2 linked regions of the Macaca fascicularis genome follow. The protein of the gene in region 2 purifies or fractionates together with the protein of the main gene of each other region. This does not show direct contact. Links are inferred from orthologs where the notes say so. Each region holds a gene or a part of one and is shown on either strand. Other genes may lie near its edges. The genes, in order: UBE2E2 and RNF25.

Region 1 (3,816 bases), on a different chromosome or scaffold from region 2:
GGAAAGGGAAACTGAATACTCTAGTACCTTGGAATAACCACTCACCATCCTCCAACATCTCTCACCAAGGGGCCTGAGAAGGTTCTTTCCAATCCTGTAGACTGACTAAGCCAAAGGGAAACAAGGTCTACTAGAACATAATAATGGTTTCTTATCTTTGAGAAAGGAGTTCCCCTTAATCCACACCATAAAATAACATATAAAGCTGTAATTCAACATTCAGGCATTCCACTATGCCTAAAAGTTACAGATCGCTTTTATTTATACTTCCTATTTGGGCAATATAAAACATATGAAAACAAAGCAAGAACATAAAATCACAGGATCAGAAAAGACACTACTTTATCTTTCAAATTATTTTCCAAGAGATATTCTATAATGTAACAATATCAAAACAGATTCCCTCTAAGTCCACTGACATGCCAATCATTTTAAGAGATTGATGTACCAAAAGAAGACCATTCAAATACCTACTTTCCAGATCCATCTATTCTCCAGAGAAAGAGAAAAATCTGTATCAAGATGGATCCACTGACTAATGTAATGAAACCAAGATGCACTTGTCGCTAATGTCAGCATTTCTGACTCTACCAACTGGGAGTAGTGGAAAATAAACTATCACTCACTCAATAACCACTTCAAAAGATTCCTAATCTCTATTTTGTGTTACGGAACAGAAAAAAAATATTTATGGTCAAGTAACCATAAATGAAACCACTGCAACTTTACATGCACGCCCTGTATATGCTTCCCTAATAATACACAAACACACAAACACACTATGGAAATGTATTTTATGAATCTGCCATGCCATTTAACTGACTTTAAATACTGAAGTTCCCTATGGCTAAAACCATGTAAAAGAGATCATCTTGAAAGGGAAAGAAAAATCCACGAAGTTCATGGCTGACAATCACGGAAAAAATGATTAAATGCAAGAGAAAAACAGAACTTAAGATGATAAACTGATACCAAAAATAAAAAGGTTATAATAACTGAGATACCTTTTAGCACTAGTTGACAATTTAGCAGCGGTTTTGCTGGATATTTTTCCCTCCTTTTTCTTGGGCTGAACTTGTTCTCTTTCTGGTTCTTGCTGAACACTTTCACGTTGATCTCCATCGGAACTTCCTCCACTAGTGCTTGGACTGTCATCAACTCTTTGTGCCTCAGTGGACATTTTAGATCCTGGATTAAAGAATCAAAAATCATTTACTCAGCTGTGAGGACGACTACAGTAAGCTACCTCCAGAACACAGAGAATGAATCTCAAAGTAAAACAAGTAAATCTCAATATAAAACGGATTAAATTGGTCATTTACAAAACAATGCAGCTTTGGGACTTGCTAAAACTTTTCCTTCATCCATTCAAAATGTATTGTAAAACAAAAACATACAAAATTTATACATGAAACGTTCACAGCAACATTATTCATAATAACCAAAACTGGAAACAACTCAAATATCCACTAACGAATGAATGGATAAACAAAATGTAGTAGTATATTCACATAATGTACTGTTAGCCATAAAAAAGAATGAAATACAGTGTCTACGTGCTACAAAATGGATGAACCTTGAAACATTCTGTAAGTGAAAGAAGCCAGCCACAAAGCACCACAAGCTGACTATTTAGATAAAATGTCCAGAATAGGCAAATTCATAAACATCAAATTCAGTAGTAAATCTCACGCCTGTAAATCCCAATGTTTTGGGAAGCCCAGGCAGGACCAGCCTGGGCAACATAGCAGGACTCGATCTCTACAAAAAATAAAAATATGATTGATACCACTGCATTCCAGCCTGAGTGACAGAGAGAGACCCTGTCTCAAAACAAAATAATAATAATAATAAAATAAAATGGGTAAGTGGTTGCCAGGGAGTGAGGGGAGAGCAGTGAAGACTGACTGCTAATGGGTAGGATGCTTCCCTGTGGGGTGATAAAAATGTTCTTAAATTAGATAATGATAATGTTGCTCAATTCTAATAATAAATATTCTAAGAACTACAGAGTTGTACATTTTTAAACGGTAAATTTTATAGTCTGTGAATCACATATCAATAATGCTGTTACAAAAAATAAGAAAAAAATGACTAAGGGTCTACTCTCTACCAGGTGCTGTGCTAAACCCTTTGGTCCCACAACTGTGAAAAACCTGGACTAGCCAACTTGCTAAGTACAAAAACGAAGGTTAGTACAAATAGTTGTGGGAACAGAAAAATGGGAGGATTCTTTCAAATCCCTATTCCATCAATACATCCTCAGAGCTGGGCTAAGGTTAAAATTCTCCAAACTAGTAAATTGTTTTAAGTAACCTTTGTGATAACAGAAGAACACAGAGGCCTGCATGACTGCATGATTCTAAATAAAAATTGAACCATACGACGGCATCAGCACTGATTCAGCTATATACTAAAGCAACCATATTTCACAAGAGATGGCGAGACACTGAAGAATTTTTTTTTTCTTTTCCCCACAGTCTGGCTAAAATATCCCTCAAGGCATTCAAATTCCCTTTGCTCTGAGTTCAGGCTCCCCAAGCAGCTCTGATTACCAACTCAATTTCCTCAATAGCTTGATATTTAGGTAGCTGTTATAATCTAGACAGGAGACACAAACAATTCCAGTAAGAGAAGAGGAGTATCTCTTCTCAACTGTCATTCTACCATAATCAATTTCTGAGTTTGATGACTACGAATACATCCCTTACGAGCTGACTAGCCTACAGTGTTCTGACAAATCCAGAACTGAACCAACAAAACCCATGCCCAGACTCTAAAAGGTCTTGTGCTCACCACAGTTTTGTCACCTAATAATCACTTTGAGCACTGTATAGCTACCTTCTCAGACACCTCTTTAAAAACAAATACCTATACTTAACAAGTACCATTAACAACAAAAAAAATACCTTTAAAAATTAGAGGTACACTGAACAAACTCCTTTTGAAATGGATCCTTTTGATTATTCTTATTCAAATTACGACTTGAAATAAAACTGTTTCTGATATGATCAATAAGAATAGGTAAAGATACCTCAAATAAAGCAAAATTTTTAATTACTACAATTTAGTCCAAATGGATAGCTATTTGACACTGATGAAAATTCATCATTACTAAAGATTTAACTTGTAGTCTGCTCCAAGCCAAAGCAATGTTGTAACACCGATCTTTAATAGACTGAAATTTTTGTAAGACAAACCAAAAAGCACTGCAAAAGAATGGAGGCATCACGAAGCACAGAGCCGCAAAGAGTCAACAGAAAATAGTGAATCCTTTCACTGACACGCCACACACACCACCACCAGCACCCCTTCAACCCCAACAGCTCCTCATGCCACACAAAAACAGGTCTGCCTCAACAGCTCTGAAACATACTAATGGAAAAGCTGACTACTTTTCTACCTATTCTGTAAATGGAGAGCACCAGTCTCCACAGCTGTGACATCTTTTATGAGCACTAAAGTCACTTAATAGAATACTGAAATTTTTTATCAGTATGTTTCACATCTAGCTCTAAAAGTCATAACATATTTCTTGCTTTTTTTCATTTTTATTTTACTCTAAATTCTCATTCTTGGATTTAATTTTTTTTCACCTTACCTCTTTCAGTTAAAATATATCAGAAGTTTAAAACCTTCTAAGTATGTACATAATGGCATATCAGTTAGGGCAGCACGCATGACAGTGAAAACGAGAACAATCCTCAGGGAAAGGTGCTCAGATACAGCAAAATGCTGCCAGCGATACCTTAAGAAATGTGAAATGAGTGAGAAATCATTTTATACATTTTAAACCAGGAGCAATCTGTTCCATGA
Region 2 (4,358 bases):
TCATCCAGATAGATGGACTCCAACACTTCAACTTCAGAGGGAAGGACCCTAGAGAGACAGGAGTAGACTGACTTTCCATTACAACTCTCCCTGTGGAAGCCTGCTAAGGCCAATAAACGCGGGCTTTGTAGAAAAATGGCAATCTACCAGAATGCATTTTCCTGCTAAACTCCTTAAAAACAAGGAAAATGTTACCTTAAGTTTTCAACTGGCCAAATAGGAGGCACAAAAATCAGAATTTTAAGCATTATTTCTGCCAAGAGATGAAGAAGTGGATTCCAGAAAAATAAAATGACTAACCAAGGCTTAACATAGGTAGAACTGGGCCCAGAGTCGGGTTTCCTGACTCCCTGTTTAAGTTTCATTCCCCTTAGTGGCTGACTTTCTGGTCTAGAGGTATGGCACCCATTTACTAGCATTAACGTTACCAATATTACTCCAGCCTTTCCCTACATCAATGTCCAGTGTGGATCCCAGTGCCTTGGCTACCGTCTACATACACTTTTAACACCAGTCACCCTAAGCCTTCTTAAAGGAGATAGCAACCTCAACACAACAGGTCTAGGGTGGTGTAAAGGCTGTGTTGTAATGGAAAAGCCAGCAGCCTCGGAGTTAGTAACAGGTACCAATCACTTACAAGCTATGCGATCTGGGAAGTGACCTCTCTGTAAGCTTAAGTTATCCTGTCTATCACATATAGATGATAACACCTACTCTCTAGGGTTACTATGAGGATAAAAGGTGATTTGTTTATATAAAGTACCTAATAGTATCTGGGCTATAGTAGCTAGTCTACATCCTCTTTTTCTTCCCGTCTGTATATAACCTTCTCCCTTAGAAGGAAGAGGGAAGGAGGGAGGTAGTAGAGTACTCTGGATGTATTTATGACCCTGGCTGTCTGGTTGATCTACATCAGCCTGTTGAGGTTAGCATCCATGTTCCGATGTAAATCAGAGGACACACATGCTTAAGCATAGAAACAGTAGTTGTATTGAAATTGAAGCTGAGTGATCAGTTTGTGTCTACAGCTCTACCAGGTGATACATGGAAAAATGCATACTTTCCTTTCTCATACTGCTCTCTCTTCATTCTAAGAGTAAGGCTGCTCCAGCATGACTTATGTCAGTTGTTGTTAAGTCTTAGGCAGAAACTTCAAAATATAAAATACAAAGCTTTACACCTCACAGAAAATAGTGTAGTTTTGGCTGACATGGGATGGGAGTCTCACAGCACTACAGGCTGCTGCACTCACTGTTGTTCTCTCCATGGCTCAAGGTGTCTCCCCTGAATCTTAAAAGTTCCCCTGAACAGGTCAACTATAAGTTATCCCAGCACTTTGGGAGGCTGAGGTGGGAGGATCACTTGAGGCCAGGAGTTCGAGACCAGCCTGGGCAACAAAGCGAGACTATCTCTACAGAAAATAAAAAATTAGCTGGACACAGTGGTCCCAGCTACTTGGGAGGCTGAGGCAGAAGAATCGCTGGAGCCCAGGAGGTTGAGTCTGTAATGAGCCATGATCTTGCCACTGTACTCCAGCCTGGGTGACAAAGTAAGACTCCGTCTCTTAAAAAAAGAAAAGAAAAAGTTTCCCTGAACACTTTGAAAACCAGTAGTCTAGATAGTCTTAATAAAGGCCAGTACTAGCAGGGCTCCCTGAACCAATGTAACACTGAGGTGTAGCCTCAGTCAAGTGGCCCTTCAATACTTTGCCTACCCTAGTTATGTGGGTCCTGGATGGGATGCTGGTAAGGTGGTGACAACAAAATGGGGGAGAGGGGATTGAAGAATGTCCTAGTATAAAGAATCTAAGGTGTGGAGTCAGATAGATGTGGATTTCTAGTCGCAATTTTCCACCTTTTGGCAAATCACTTTACTTCTTTGGGGCTCATCTAATCTTCCCAGGTGCCTGCACCTCAGTTATTAATGAAAAGGAGGCCGGGTGTGGTGGCTCACGCCTGTAATTCCAGCACCTTGGGAGGCTGAGGTGGGAGGATCACTTGAACCCAGGGGTTCAAGACCAGCCTGGCCAACATGGCAAAACTCTGTCTCTACAAAAAATACAAAATTAGCTGGGCATGGTGGCACAGACCTGTAGCCTCAGCTACTTGGAAGGCTGAGGCAAGAGGATCACCTGAGCCTGGGGAGGTTGAGGCTGCAGTGAGCCATAATCGCACCACCGCACTCCAGCGTGGGCGACAGTGAGACTCTGTCTCAAAAAACAAAACAAAACAAAACAAAACAAAAAAACAGACTTAAGTATATTACAAATCCATCGTGATCCTCTCAACTATTCTGAGGTAAATACCACACCCACTTTGTTTTTACAGCTGAGGACACTGACTCACAGAAGCTAGATGGCCTGGTCAGCATCACACAGCTAATAAAATGCGGAGTTAACCCACATTGATCCTACTTCCAAATCCCAGAGTCCTTCCATGTTCTAGTCTTTAGTTAAGAATGCTTGAGAGAAGGACTAGAGGGACTTTATGTGAGGTGTAAAGCTTTATTCAGACAATAGTCCTCACTAGTGCTGTGTGGGAGAGAGAAGGTTGAGGAAAGCGTCGGCGGAAAAACGCTGATCCAAGGAGAAAGGGGTACCGAACCGGAGGGCACTAGTTCTGAGAGGCGAAAGGGAGATGGGGAGGTCTGACGGGCAGGCATCCCCCAAAGCCCCTGAGAAAATTCATTTGAGGAGCATAGAAAGGGATAGCGTGAAGCTGGAGGAAAGGGGATCGAACCGGATAAGGCGAGGCCTGAACTGGTCTGGCGGGCGCAGACCCGGTCTCTTCTCACTCAGATCAGCGCCCCTCCACCCTCCCGTTCCCCAGTCTAGAAGATCTCCCAGAGGAGATGTCAGCATCTCTGCCATCCCTCATCCTTCGCTCCACCCCACACGCCCGCCGTACGGACCGTCTGCGACAGCTGCTAGGCCTCTGGACTAGATCCAGACTGTCAGCCAAAGCCCATGCCCCCGAAGTTACCAGTCCTCCTCCCCTGCAGCTGCAGACGCAGACGCCGCCATGTCTTCACCGGCCCGCAGCCGGAACCGGAAATGCCCTTAGGGAAGTCGGAGGCGGAAAACTAAGAGGGGTGGGCAGCTAGCGTCGTTTCTAGGCAACCGCAGACTCCGGGTCCTTAGCCGGGCCTGACGGCCCAGAGGCAGTTCGGATGCGTCCCAGGAAGTGCCCATGTGTGGTCCGCCGTCCCTCCCACACCTCTGAGCGCCTTTGTCCTCTGAACTTCTCACCAGTTCTAGCGAGTGAAATTGTTAGAAAGGGAGCCAAAACAGACTGGCGCGAGGGGCGGGTGGAGAAGAATTGTAAGTCAGGCAACGTATGCAGGCAGCCAGAAGATATGGGGCTAAAGGCCAGGGAATCCGTCCCTGGGCCTGAGGAGCTTGGATCTCCTAGGCTGGGGATGAGAGAGGGACCCTGGCTTGCGAAGCGCATGGGCCAGGGGGTCTGAGAGCAGGTGCTGAGGAATCTGGGAGTGGCAGGAACTTGGGGGAGACTCGAAGGAGCAGGGTTGGGTGGGCGATGCTAGGTTAAGAGAGCAGGGTCGAGTGGGCCAAGCTGGGTGAGGGAGAAGGGGGACCAGGTGTCAGGTGGGCATGGGGCCGGGTTGGGGACAGGAGGCTGAAAGTGGAGAGGAACTACAAAGAGATGCTGTGTTTGTTCCAAGATCGCATCACCTTTGCGTCATTCTACCCTCCCATGTTTTTTGAGGCTTGGTCTTTGTGAAAAAGAGAAAAGGCAAGGTGGCTAACATTTTTCCTTTCCCATGCCCCAACTAGGCCTCCCAGATGTTGTGGAATTGTCCCTGGATCTATAGCTCTTCACCGTCTCTACCTTTTTCCTTCTAAGAGATTCTGAAACCTCTGTCATGGAAAAGTACCACGTGTTGGAGATGATTGGAGAAGGCTCTTTTGGGAGGGTGTACAAGGGTCGAAGAAAATACAGTGCTCAGGTATTGTACAAAGAGGGATACCTTTTGGGTGGGATTTGGTACCCCCAACTCCAGTGGAAAATGGGTCTAGAAGGGATGTATGTATACCAGTTTATATTCCTAAGGCATTGACTCTCTCATACTTCTTATGGAGTATAAGCTCTGAAGTTGTATTATTTGGGTATAAGTTCCATCTCCACCGCTTTCTAACCCTAGAATTATGGACAAATTACTTAACTTCTCTATGTCTCAATTTCCTCATCTCTAGAATGGGGATAAGAACAGCAACTGATTGATGGCATTTGAGATTAAGTATGTTGTCACATTAAATCAGTTAGTACAGTGCCTGGCTCTTAGTAAACAACAAATATTATTATTATTAGTCTCTAGCACACCATGTAGTAAGAGGTAAA

The links.
Region 1: the proteins of RNF25 (region 2) and UBE2E2 purify together in Homo sapiens (affinity purification with mass spectrometry; 3 studies listed by BioGRID and IntAct, counting the BioPlex papers as one, with this or other methods). This does not show direct contact. The link is inferred for Macaca fascicularis from reciprocal best matches to the Homo sapiens genes RNF25 and UBE2E2.

What each region holds. Positions count from the first base shown.
Region 1 is NC_088376.1:25,157,458-25,161,273, forward strand, and holds part of UBE2E2 (ubiquitin-conjugating enzyme E2 E2), read right to left. Parts: intron 1,189-3,816; 5' UTR 1,181-1,188; coding exon 1,005-1,180; intron 1-1,004.
Region 2 is NC_088386.1:114,599,058-114,603,415, forward strand, and holds the start of RNF25 (E3 ubiquitin-protein ligase RNF25), read right to left. Parts: upstream 3,055-4,358; 5' UTR 3,023-3,054; coding exon 2,982-3,022; intron 49-2,981; coding exon 1-48. Other genes in the region: STK36 (serine/threonine-protein kinase 36), read left to right, coding at 3,883-3,966. UniProt on the Homo sapiens protein: E3 ubiquitin-protein ligase that plays a key role in the RNF14-RNF25 translation quality control pathway, a pathway that takes place when a ribosome has stalled during translation, and which promotes ubiquitination and degradation of translation factors on stalled ribosomes.